Linked DNA regions of Oryctolagus cuniculus. The protein of the gene in region 1 binds, or shares a complex with, the protein of each later gene. Links are inferred from orthologs where the notes say so. Each region holds a gene or a part of one and is shown in the gene's direction. Other genes may lie near its edges.

Region 1 (5,906 bases):
AAGGGCAGCCGGGACTCGAGCTGGTGTTCACACGGGACGCTTCAGCTTAGCCCGCTTGGCGACGCCACTTGCCCTGGCCCTTGTATGTTACATGCATGTGAAACGAACGTATCAGGCACACACAGGAACAGGCGTGGGCGCACTGGTCCCGGCGTTGCTGCCGGGGGTCCCAGGCTGGCTCCCCCTGTGCCCTGCCGCCGTGAGGACAGCCGGGCCTCCGGTCATCGTCCCCAGGCCACCAGAGGCGGGGCCTGCACAGGACCCTGCCTTTCTCCAGGGGACCCCCAGAGGTCAAAGGGCAAGCTGCTCGGGGGGGGGGGGGCACCTGTGTGGGCTGGGGCCGGCCAAGGTGTTCATGCGCCCCTCTTGTTCTGTTTTCCCGCCTGTCCCATTCAGGTCAGAGACAAAAGGAAGAGCCCCAGGTAATGCGTCCAGGGTCCCAGGGTCAGAGGCCCGGGGGCAGGGGGCCAGGGGCAGGGGCCGGCCCTGCGCCGGGAAGCCACTTCCTCCCAGGCCTCCCCCCCCCGGAGCTGTGGTGGTCTGCAGTGTGGACATCCCTTCTAATGGATCAGGCGTCCTGCGCCCCTCCCCCCAGGAAGCCACGCGTGGCGTCCCCGTGCCCTACACGCTCAAGGTGCACTACAAGTTCACGGTGCTCCTGGACACTCAGCCCCAGCTCCCCTACAGCCAGCTCCGGGACGCCGTGGCCAGGAAACTGGAGCTGGCGCCGGAACACACGAAGCTGAGGTGCGGCTGGGGGGGGGGACACGGAGGCGGCGTGCAGACATGTGGGGGCGGCATGGGCGATGCAAGGGTGCTGGGGGCCTGGGGGACACGGGGCACAGGCTCCTCTCACCCGGGGCCCACTCTGTCCCCGCAGCTACCGGCCTCGGGCCGGCCCCGAGCTGGCGCCCCTGTCGGAGGCCAGCATGGCAGACGCCTGGAGCCACGTGGACGGCAGCTGCCTGACCCTGTGGTGTGAGAACTCAGTGGTGAGTGCCGTGTGGCCACCGCCTGTCACCCGCAGGCGCCCCACAGCCACCCTTCACTGGAAGCCTGCAGGGGCCGTCCCCGTGAGGGTGACCTCCGGGGGTGAGGCTGTGCTCGGTGCGCCCGTGTGCCCTCTCAGGGTCCCGGCGACGCCGTAGCTGGGTGCTGCCACCCAGACACACGGCAGAGGCCAAGCAGCTTGACCTTCTCCCAAGGTCACAGCGCTGGCAGCAGCCTGGCCCGGCCACGCCCACGGCCACAGCCACCCCAGGCCCTGCAGCCGCCCAGAGAACGGGAGTGAGGAGCGGGCGGGGTGGAAGGTCTCCCTAGAGGGAGCACTCGCCGCCACGCTGACACCGCCACAAGGGGGCGCCCTCAGAGGCCACGGGGTGGACGCCCTCTCCTTCCTGGTCCCTGCTCCCGCGATTGTGCAGGAAGCCTGGCACCCCAACACCCGACGAGTGCCAGAGGTGTTGGTACAGGAACAGAAGCCCCGCCTTCTCGCGGCCCTGGGGGGATGGTGTGGCGCCAGGCCGACCACGGACAGGGCCACCGTCATGGCGCCGCAAGTGTGCATTTCTAACGGGCGCTAGCGTGGTGCTGGGGAGAGGGTGTCGGGTTCAGTGCTCAGCAGCTTGGGGCTCTGTGGCTGACTCCGCCTGTTTGCTCGGGACCACAAGGCTTCCGTGGATTTCAAGGTGACCAGGCAGGTCCACGGCAGGCACTGGCCACGCCCGGGCTCCGCGAGCTCGCGTCCCAGGAGCTGCTGGGACATCCCGGCCCCGCCCTCCAGCGGTGCTCAGTGTTCACGGCCCAGCAAGGAGACCAGGTTCTGTGCTGACTTCAGGGTGACCAAGGCTTTCCAGAGGAGCCCGACGAGAGCGAGCTCTCCAAGGCTGACGACCGGACCACGGGGCCGAAGATCCGGGAAGGCAGCCACGTGGTGGCTCGCTTCCGTTACGAGGCCAGCCAGCCGGAGGACCTGGAGCTGCGGGAAGGGGACGTCGTCCTGGTGCTGTCAGAGGGTAAGCGGCGGGGCCGCGGCTGCCGGTTCCGCCCGCTCCCCAGCTCCTGGGTGGGCAGAGGGGGTCGCGGCCGCCGGTTCCGCCCGCTCCCCAGCTCCTGGGTGGGCAGAGGGGGTCGCGGCCGCCGGTTCCGCCCGCTCCCCAGCTCCTGGGTGGGCAGCAGAGCGCACTGGGCTCTCATTCCTAGCAGGCAGGGCCCCCCGCGGCCAGTTCTCGCACCGCACTGCACGCTCTGCTCAGCTGCGCCCCTTTCTGTCGGGAACCAGCACGGTAGAAACCCTGGGGGAGCCCCAACGCCAGGGCCTCTCCAGCCTTGGGAGCGTAAGCGCACAGCCCGCACCGCCCCCGGGGACCCTGCTGTCTGCGGTGCTGCTGACTGCTCTAACTCCCGGTGTCAGTCCTAGCCACCTCCACCTGGCTCACTTCCCGGCCAGGCTGAAACCAGGAGCCAGGAGCTTCACCCACCTGTCCCATCTTCTGGTGAGGCCAAGCAGCCAGGACGTGAGCTGCTCCGCCACGACACCGGCCCTGTGGTCTCTGCCTTGCACGGGGCTGCAGCACCGTGTGTTGGCAGTACAAAGTAGGGACACACTGTGATTATCAGATTGAGAAGTGAGCAGGTTGTGAACTTAACGGGGTGGAGAGTATGCAAGTGTGTGGCTCAGAACACAAGCCGCTGACAGAGGCGGTGCAGGTGCGGTGTGGTGTCTTCCCGCACGAGGGACAGGGAGACAGGGAGACGCGGGCTAAACTGCACGGAGCAGTGAGCCGTGCAGTGTGCGTGTAGGGACAGTGGGAACAGAAACGCTCCCCAGGGCATGGACGAGAGCCCCGAGCAGGCGCACCCCTGTGGAGCAGGTGGGGCTGTGGCTCAGCCCAGCCGCCATGCTGGACAGCCAGGGGATGGCTTCTCAGACTGTCAAGGGCACGTCAGTCGCCAGGCGTCGTCTTGAAATGGACTCGGGCTCGAACCTGCCTGAAACACGCCAGGTGCCAGGACAGAGGTTTCCAGGCCCTGGCCGCACAGCGAGCAGCAGACGGGGGCCGGCGACTGGTCAGCCAGGGACCCCGCCAGCAGCGGCCCTGAGGCGACATCCCTGCGCGCATGGTGTGGTGCTGGGTTCGGGGGCTGCCCCACCAAGTGGCTGCTGTGTCCTGGCAGCGTGGGACACCACCCGCACCCGTTACGGAGTCAGCGTGTGCGCGTCTTCCAGTGTGGTCTGCAGGGCACTGCAGTCATTTTTAGGAACAGTACCCGTGGCTCCAACTCGGCCTCCATGCCAGGCCCTGCTCTATCGGCCACGCCCCGCTCTGCTGGCAAAGCTGCCGAGAGTCTCAGGAAACCCTAGTCACTGCTCATCCCTCCCCTGGCTTCTCGGAACTCGCTCCCGGGCAGGGTCCCTGTCGCTTCCCGAGACCACAGGCTCCGGGTCACGGCGGCGCGCTCTCCCCTCACAGTGAACGAAGAATGGCTGGAAGGCGAGTGCAGGGGGCAGGCGGGCATCTTCCCCAGAGCCTTCGTGGAAGAACACGCACCCGCACAGCTGCAGGGCACGCCCAGCGCCGGCGCAGGCCAGGGAGCCCTGTCGGCCTCCGAGACACCGCCCTCCTCCCTGATGTGAGCACGTGCAGGGGCACGGGGAGGGCGGGGCCCCTGCGGGCACGGGCGGGCGCCAGGGTTCCCGTGAGCATCTGCTGAGCTGTAGGTGCACACACGGCGCTCCTCTCCGCACGTCCTAATCTCACAAAAGCCCCACAAACCACACAGCAGGAGCCCAGGCCCACGGGCTCGGCGTGCGCGCTCCTGCTGCGTGACTCTGCAGGCGCCCCCAGGCAGCCCGGCAGCCACACTCGCAGAGGCCGGCCGGGCGGGCTCCCGTGGGATGCACGCTGACGGGCGCCGTCTTGGGGAGGGGAGAGCTATTCCCCAGCCTCCCCTACACCGTCCCAGCACATGGGACAGCCGGGCTGAGTGGGCCCCACAGGCTAAGCGAGAGCCCCCCTGAGCCGCCTATCAGTGTGACGGCAACGGGCGACTCTCAGCGCCCCGGCCCTGGCCACTCTGCGTGGACGCCCGCCGGTGCGCCCCTGCGGCCGCCGGTCTGCGCCAGGGCTCCCTGCAGCGCCCTCAGGCCCTACCCTCGCGGCTCCCGCTCCCCGTCCTCGGGCCGGCAAACAAATGGCGTCACACAGGGCTGGCTGGAGAGAACAGGTTTAATTAAAGGCAAAGCTGATTCCAGCAGCTGCAGGTCTTGCACAGACAGACGAGAAAAAAAACCAACAAACCCAAAAACCCCCAAACCAACCAACCCCCCCACCCAGTTTCCCACACAAGCCGGCTTCCGAGGCCGACTGCTCCCCCCTCACTCCACAGCGAAGGCAAAGCCGTGCGCCCCGAGTTGGCACAGGGGGCCGGGGGGGGGAGCTCGGTGCCAGCTCCTGCACCAGCGTGCCGCAGCCACCTGCCACACAGCGCGTGCACGCCGGGCAGGGCCGGGCAGGAGGCTGGGAGAAGCACAAAGGGGCGCAGGGTGCCACTGGGTGGGGGCTTCACCCTTTCAGGCCTTGCCAAAAAAACAAAAACAAAACAAAACCCCAAACACCACGGCAAACGGAAGCAGTAATAGAAGCGTCCGGGACTCCAACCCCCTGAGAGACGAGCGTGCCCTCCCCCCGCACGGCCAGGGCCCCCAGCTGCGCCCTCGCACACGGGGCCCCGTCACCAGCACAGCAGTGGACATTTCCATCGTTTCCCTAATTCCCCTCGGACCCCTCAGGAAGGACGGGCGCCGCCTGCGCAAGCGCACTGGGTCCTCGCGCCTAATAAATAGCAAAGTCAAAGTCCATCTCCCGCTGTCCCCGTTCCGCTTGCTCTGCGCCGCCGGGCGCGTGTCCGTGCCGCCTCCGAGACCACGCTCAGGCGGGCGCCCTCGTCTTCGGCCGCCTCCGGGCCCCGCGCCGGAGCCCACGCTGCTGTCGCTCGGCCAGTCGTCGCGCACGTTGGGAACAGAGACAGTTAGTAGCACACAGCACAGGGCAGGGAGGGGCAACCGGGCAGTCGGGGCACAGAAATCATCCAACCAAACGACAGCCATGCTGAACGCCTCTCCCCGCCCGGAGCGGACTGGCGGCCTCCCGTGGGCCCGTATGCTGCCCGCCGTGGGTGCAGCCGGGAAGACGTCGGCTGCCAGTCCGGCCCAGCACCACCGCCCCTGCGCGTCCTCGCCGGGGTCACGCCCCCACGTTCTGCTGGGGCCCCGGGCCAGTGCAGGGCCGGCCGGGCCACCCGAGGCCTCGCGCTGTCCCTTGCGGACACTGCCACTGGCTGAAGAGGCCGGGCTCACCCTGTCGCCACCCGCCTCCCACAGGGCAGTGAGGGACGGGGCTCCTTGTCACCCGCTGACCCGCAGCACGTCAGTGTGGCGTCACTGCCGAGAGCAGCGACAGCAGCCAGGATGGCTGGGAGCGATGTCCACTACTCTGTCAGCAAAGCAACCGTGAGTGGACTCCCGCTTTATTCCCCAAGAGGAGAAAGCACTGAGAAGTTCCCGCGGCTTCTCCCATCTGCCCTTGCTTCTCAGCTTCCACTTCCCACGTGGCTGGGGACGTGCGTGACGGAGGTGAGCGGCGGTGCCATCCGAGACCGAGCGGGACCAACGGGGCCCCGGGGACGGAGAGTTCCCGGTGGGTTTTCTTTCCGTTGCACTGCGGACATTCCGTGCACACTCAGCGGGCTGGTGGGACACTTACACCCTCGACAGCAAGGAACGGCAGAGGGCTGCCACCGCCGGGCTGAGCGCCAGGCCTGCGAGCCCGGCAGGCCGGCTTCGCGGAGCCTCCATGCGCAGGCTGCGCTCGGGCCTCAGTGTGGAGGGTTCAGGGCGCCTCGGC
Region 2 (6,601 bases), on another chromosome or scaffold:
TTTTAAAAAATGGGAGCAGGCCTTTTGGCAGAGAACGTAGGACGCAGATTGGAACGCCAGCATGCCGTACCAGAGTGTCTGGTTTCGGTTCTGGCTCCTCTACTTCCGATTCCTCCTTCCTGCTAACGTGCACCTCGGAAGAAGTGACAGCTCAGGTACTTGGGTCCCTGCCAGCTTTTGTGAGACACCAAGATGGAGCTCCAGGCTTTTGGCATCAGCCTTGCCCCAGCCCGGGCAGTTGCAGGGATTTGGGGAGTGAACGAGTAGATGGAAGATCTCTATGCCTCTTTGTCTCTCTGCCTTTCAAGTAAATAAAAAAATTTTTAATATAAAAAGTTCTGATTTAAGAAGATTATTATAATACTGGGCAACAGAGTAGGAGGAGAAGGCAGCCTACAACATGAAAATATCCTCAGAAATCAATTCCCCTGGAAAGTCCACTCTCAAACACCGCCCAGGAGGACAGTGCAATAATTTCTATCAAAGCTTTAAGAACATTTCCCCTACTGTGGGTCCAATAACTCCATTTTGGGGAATGTATTCAAAAGAAATAAAACTAAGAATGAAGATTTTTTAAAAGGTTTATTTATTTGAAAGGCAGAGTTACAGAGAGGCAGAGGCAAAGAAAGAGAGAGAGAGTCTTCCATCCGCTGGTTCACTTCCCAGATGGCCACAATGGCCAGAGCTGGGCTGATCCGAAGCCAGGAACCAGGAGCCAGGAGCTTCTTCCAGCTCTCTCACAGGGCTGGAGGGACTTGGGCCATCTTCCACTGCTTTCTGAGGCCACAGCAGAGAGCCGGATTGGAAGTGGAGCAGCCGGGACACAAACCAGCACCCATATTGGATGTTGGCACTGTTCATGGTGGCTTTACCTGCTATGCCACAGCTTGGGCCACAGGAATGAAGATTCTGATACAAAGGTGTTCCACAGAAAGATTAAAACAACTCAATTGCCTAATAAAAGGGGAATTATTTAAATAAACGGTAGGCGCATGGCACAGCTATTAAGATGCCCCTTGGGACGCTGAATGCCGTATCATACAGCCTGAGCTTCAGTCCCAACTCTGCTTCCGATGCAGCTTTCTGCTAATGTGCACCCCAGGAGGCTCAGATTGGGCTCCGACTCCCGACTGGCCTGACTTAGCCCTGGCTGTTGCAGGTATTTAGGGAAGAATCAGCAGGTGGAGGATCTCTCTCTGCCTTTCAAGTAAAATCAAAATAAATGAACAAAGTAAAATTTTAAAAAGGTACATGTGTACAATGGACTAGTAAGCCGCAATTAAAAATATTAGAGATTCAGTATGATTTTTCAATCTTGCCTGAAACATGTTCACTGTGTGTATTAAGAAATATGGAGGCCAGCGCCGCGGCTCACTAGGCTAATCCTCCGCCTTGCGGCACCGGCACACCGGGGTCTAGTCCCGGTCAGGGCGCCGGATTCTGTCCCGGTTGCCCCTCTTCCAGGCCAGCTGTCTGCTGTGGCCCGGGAGTGCAGTGGAGGATGGCCCAAGTGCTTGGGCCCTGCACCCCATGGGAGACCAGGAGAAGCACCTGGCTCCTGCATTCGGATCAGCGCGATGCGCCTGCCACAGAGCGCCGGCCGCGGCGGCCATTGGAGGGTGAACCAACGGCAAAGGAAGACCTTTCTCTCTGTCTCTCTCTCTCTCACTGTCCACTCTGCCTGTCAAAAATAAATAAATAAATAAATAAATAAATAAATAAAATAAAAAAGAAATATGGAGAGGGGCTGGCACTGTGGTGCAGTGGGTTAAAGCCCAGGTCTGAAGCGCCATATGGGCGCCGGTTCGAGACCCGGCTGCTCCACTTCCGATGTGGCTCTCTGCTGTGGCCCGGGAAAGCAGTGGAAGGTGGTCCAAGTCCTTGGGCCCCTGCACCTGCATGGGGACCTGGAAGAAGCTCCTGGCTTTGGATCAGCCCAGCTCTGGCCATTGCGGCCAATTGGGAGAGAACCATCGGGTGGAAAACCTCTCTCTCTCTCTCCATCTTCTCTCTGTAACTCTTTCAAATAAATAAATCTTAAAAAAAAAAAAAAAAGAAATATGATGGAATGAATACTGATTATGGCCCAATAATGGTATGGTTTCTTTTTTTTTCCTTCTTTATATAGCTTCAGCTTCGGAAATTTCTAGAAGGCCCTTATGTCATCGCCTAAGTGACAGTGACCATACACACAGGACAATAAAGAGGTGGGGGAACAACCCACGCCCTTCGGACGGCCGGGCCGGGAGTCGGTGACGTCAGCGCGGTTCCTGGAACCCCCGCCTCCCCTCCCAGTCCAAACCCGGCCGCGCCCAGCCCGCGGGAAAGATGGCGGCCGCCCCGCCCCCGCGGCCGGAGCCGAGCGCTCCCGAGCGCTCCCGAGCGTTCCCGAGCGCTCCCGAAGCCCCGAGGAACCCCGGGAGCCGCTCGGGCGGGAGCGGCCCCTCCCGGAGCCTGGGAGCGGCGGCGCCGGCGCGGGGGAGGGGCGGCCGGATGTGAGTGGAGCGGCCATTTCCTGTTTCTCTGCAGTTTTCCTCCGTTTTGGGTGGTGGCTGCTGCCGGGCTTGTGCCTCCAGTCCGCGGAGGGCGAGGCGGCGTGGACAGTGGCTCCGGCATCCCGCGCCCCGCCGCCCGTCGCCGCGCGCTCGCCCGCCCGTCGCCGCGCGCCCGTCCGCCCGCCGCTTCCCGCCTCAGCGCCCGGCCGCCGCCGCCGCCGCGGCCCAGCGAGCGGCCCAGATGCAGGCCATCAAGTGTGTGGTGGTGGGAGACGGGTGAGTGCGCGGCCGGGGGCTCTGGGGGGCCGGCGGGGGCTCGCCGAGGGTCGCGTGGGCGCCGCGCGGCCTCTGCGCGGGGCTCGGGCGGGCGCCCCTCACCCGCCGTCGTCCCGGGCCGGGTTGCGGCGTCCTGGTGGGGGGAGGGCCCTGCCGCTGGCCGGCCGCGGGCAAGAGTGGACTCCGCCCTCTCGCCGCCTTCCCGGGCCCGCGGGGCGGCCGGACGCCGCCCGCCACCCTGCCCGGCTTGGCACGGCTCTCGGGCGCCTGTGCAAATCATTTTATTTTATTTTATTTTATTTTGGCGAGAAGGGGCCGTTCCCTGGCATTTACCCTAAACCTCCTGGTCGCCCCCCACCCCCACCCCTCCAGCCCGGGGAGCCGGGGCGGGCGGCGGAGGTCCAGTGGTCTGAGTGACCGGAAGCCCAGCGTGCGGCCGCGTCGCTGCCACTTGTAACTTGGCCACTTGTGGGGTTCTTCGACATGGTCGGTGGCGCCCTTGGCGTGGACAAAGTTTGGAAGATGCTGTCAGGGGCCAGGTGTGACGGAAGCTGACCTCCTGCAATGTGGTCGTTATTTAAAAAAATAAATAAAAATAAAAATTAAAAAACCGAGGCCTTGGCTGAGCGCGGCAGGGATGGATGGAGTTCTTTCCAGGACCGCCCGTGGGGGTTACAGGCCCCAGAGGAGGACAAGACCGGTCTTATGCAGTTGTGTGTGTGTGTGTGTGTGTGTGTGTTTTTCCCTCCCTTATAAACAAGAATCCCAGTGTGATCCGAGCAAAATCGCGCGTCTCAGCATTGCTTGTGTAGCTTAGTGTGGGACAGGGACTCTCGAAGAATTACTACCAGTTTCACCCAGCTCTGAATGCAACTGGTCCAAGTCCAGAGTCGGAGGAAGAGTGCGCTGGACACCTCTGGTTCATATCCCAAAAGTGGCCTTCCGACTTTTATCTTTTTTTTTTTTTTTTTTTTTATGCCTCTTAGTGAATGTGTGATCTCTTAGCTTAGAGAACTGATGGGAGACGTTTGAGATTGTTTGTGCATTTCGGATGCAAGGAGGACAGTTAGGACACTGGTTTTTCTGGGGAGATGCATGTCTGTTGGATTCGTGTCACACGTGGGAAAGGTGAACCCTGTATAGTTCTACGTATTCAAATAAAAATTGTTAAATTTCATTTATTTAGGAATGTGTATGCTATGTTACCTTTTTAAAAGAAAACCTTACTTTGGCACTTGGGGAAAAGCGTTCGTGAAGTGGGATTGAAAATGAAGTCAGCGGATTATTTTAAGTGAATTCTTCCATGCTTTTGTGTCAGGCATCAGCAAAACGTCACTTTTTCTTAGGAACGTTTAAAATGACCTGGATTTCCCTTAAAAGTTATAAATGCTCCATCGATTATGCTTAGGATATGCTTAGCTCTCTTTCTAAGTGAAGTTGTGGTAATTCAGAACCGAGGGATGGAATGTAGTATTCTGACTTGAAGGTTTCTAAAGCAGGGACCCAGGGTGTTTGACACGAAGAGCTCCCAGCCCTCTCCTGCTGGTACTGCTGTTCCTTCCAGTGAATACTTGTTGAATGCCTGCTGTGTGTGTCTGTCCTGCCCACATCTCACCACTTAGTTGGGAGGTGTCTGAGAGCACATCACTCCTCCCCTCCCCCAGAGAGGTTCCTCCTTGGGAAGTTCAGTGAAATCATGCAGGGGGCTGGCTGGCAAGCCCCTCCCAGGGGCCAGGCCTCTACTGATTGCCTGGAAGTGACCAGGACCAGCACTGTGTGAGGCTCTGTGAGGGAGTATGAGTATTCAAAACACTGTTCCCGCCCTGGAATTTCCCGTCTGCTTTCTAATTTAATTTTTAAAATTTACTTGAGAGAGAAGAAGCTCCTACCCACCAGCTCACCCCCAACATACCTGTAACCAGCATCTGAGAACCCATTCTAGGTCTTGCTCATGGACAGGAGGGACCCAACTACATGAGCCGTCACCACCACTCCCGGGGTTCACACTAGCAGGAAGCTGGAATTGGGGCCTGCAGCAAGGAATCGAAGCCCGGCACCGCGCTGTGGGGTGCCAGTGTCGCAAAGGCTTGTCCCCACGGTATTTTAATGAGGGTTTGACATTTATGTTGACTCTTGACTGTCTTAAGTAGTATTGGAGTAAAGTGAACTTTTGCCAAAAAAAAAAAGTTACACTGTTACTCTCAGGGGTCATACGTAGCAAACATTTCTTCAGTAAAAATCCAAATCCCAAATTTTCCGTACCAAGAATATATTTCTGCTTTCGACTGGTAAGCTATATTCCTGATGATACTGCTGGAATGTTGTTTTATCAGATTGTTAAAGCTGTAAATATGGCCCCGAGTTTCAGTTAAAGGTGTTTAAACAGTGAAGGCAAAAGGTGGAGATACCACAAATTGGAAGCAAGCTGAGTTTTAACCATTTTATAACTGGGATCAGCTGGCTATTTTTTTTTAATTTAATTTTATTTATTTGAAAGAGTTCCAGAAAGAGGTAGACAGAGAGAGAGAGGTCTTCCATCCTCTGGTTCACTTCCCAAATGGCCACAACAGCTGGAGCCAGGAGTTTCTTCCAGGACTCCCACGTGGATGCAGGGGCCCAAGCACTTGGGCCATCTGCTGCTGCTCTCCCAGGTGCATCAGCAGGGAGCTGGATCAGAAGTGGAGCAGCTGGGACTCAGTCAAACAGTCAGCATCCCAATATGGGACTCCAGTGTGCAGGCCGGGGCTGTAACCCACTGTGCCACAGCGCCGGGCCCACCTGTGTTCTAGTGGACTACTCCCGATATAGCAGTATAATTGGCAATGGGTATAAAATGAGTATCAGTAATGACTTTGAGTAGCGTCTGGCTTAGGTTGACTTGAAGGCTGGGAGTGAAAGCCTTGAAGGCCCTCATTTTGCTTATCCCAGGGGTGTTCAGATTGGCCTGTGGCCCTCTCGGTCCCAGGTCCACTCAGACGTTGCTGCCCTTGAGTTATTTTTAGTTGTGTGTGGTGAGTGCCTTCCTTGATGCCACTCTCACAGGAAGCTACAGTATTTACCTCCATTGAACGGTGGTGACGTGGTCCATGAGTTTGCATAAGCTCATCGTGAATTCTTTGTGTTCCTCTTGAGGCATGGGGCTTCAGATTGTAGTTTTGGCTTGTGATAAAGGTATTTGCATTCTGCCCCGGCTTCCAAGTTTAGGTTGGGCTCATGACTCTGATCTTGGTTGCTAAAAGTATACATATACCTCCCCCCGGCCAAATGATAGGGGTTCAGAAGCTTGGATTTGAGTTAAGTGGAGCAGGAAACCGTTTGTAGAAGCCTTAAATCCATCTTTATGAAGATTGTGGTTTTGTTTTTTGTTGGCACTAGTCATCTGATGGCTTTGTGCTTTCTGCTTTTTCACTTCTAGATTATAATTGTAGGCTTCCTGGGAAGGAGATGTTTTATCAGGAAGCACCCTACCAAGGCGGTTCCATCTTGTCAGAAGGAGTATTTTTCTTCCAGCATCTCTCTCTCTCTCTTTTTTTTTTTTTTTTTTTTTTTTTTTGACAGGCAGAGTGGACAGTGAGAGAGACAGACAGAAAGGTCTTCCTTTGCCGTTGGTTCATCCTCCAATGGCCGCCGTGCTGCGGCTGGCGCACCGCGCTGATCCGATGGCAGGAGCCAGGTGCTTCTCCTGGTCTCCCACGGGGTGCAGGGCCCAAGCACTTGGGCCATCCTCCACTGCACTCGCTGGCCACAGGGGCAACCAGGACAGAATCTGGCGCCTCGACCGGGACTAGAACCCGGTGTGCCGGCTCCACAAGGCGGAGGATTAGCCTAGT

The links. The genes of interacting proteins can lie anywhere in the genome.
Region 2: NCF2 (region 1) and RAC1 share a complex: the UniProt entries of both Homo sapiens proteins name them as parts of the phagocyte NADPH oxidase complex. The link is inferred for Oryctolagus cuniculus from reciprocal best matches to the Homo sapiens genes NCF2 and RAC1.

Annotation. Positions count from the first base shown.
Region 1 is NC_091444.1:1,484,795-1,490,700, reverse strand, and holds the end of NCF2 (neutrophil cytosol factor 2), read left to right. Parts: intron 1-396; coding exon 397-422; intron 423-595; coding exon 596-747; intron 748-880; coding exon 881-992; intron 993-1,837; coding exon 1,838-2,015; intron 2,016-3,473; coding exon 3,474-3,637; 3' UTR 3,638-3,738; downstream 3,739-5,906. Other genes in the region: nonsense-mediated mRNA decay factor SMG7, read right to left, coding at 5,878-5,906. UniProt on the Homo sapiens protein: Subunit of the phagocyte NADPH oxidase complex that mediates the transfer of electrons from cytosolic NADPH to O2 to produce the superoxide anion (O2(-)).
Region 2 is NC_091450.1:40,074,780-40,081,380, reverse strand, and holds the start of RAC1 (ras-related C3 botulinum toxin substrate 1), read left to right. Parts: upstream 1-2,593; 5' UTR 2,594-2,736; coding exon 2,737-2,771; intron 2,772-6,601. UniProt on the Homo sapiens protein: Plasma membrane-associated small GTPase which cycles between active GTP-bound and inactive GDP-bound states.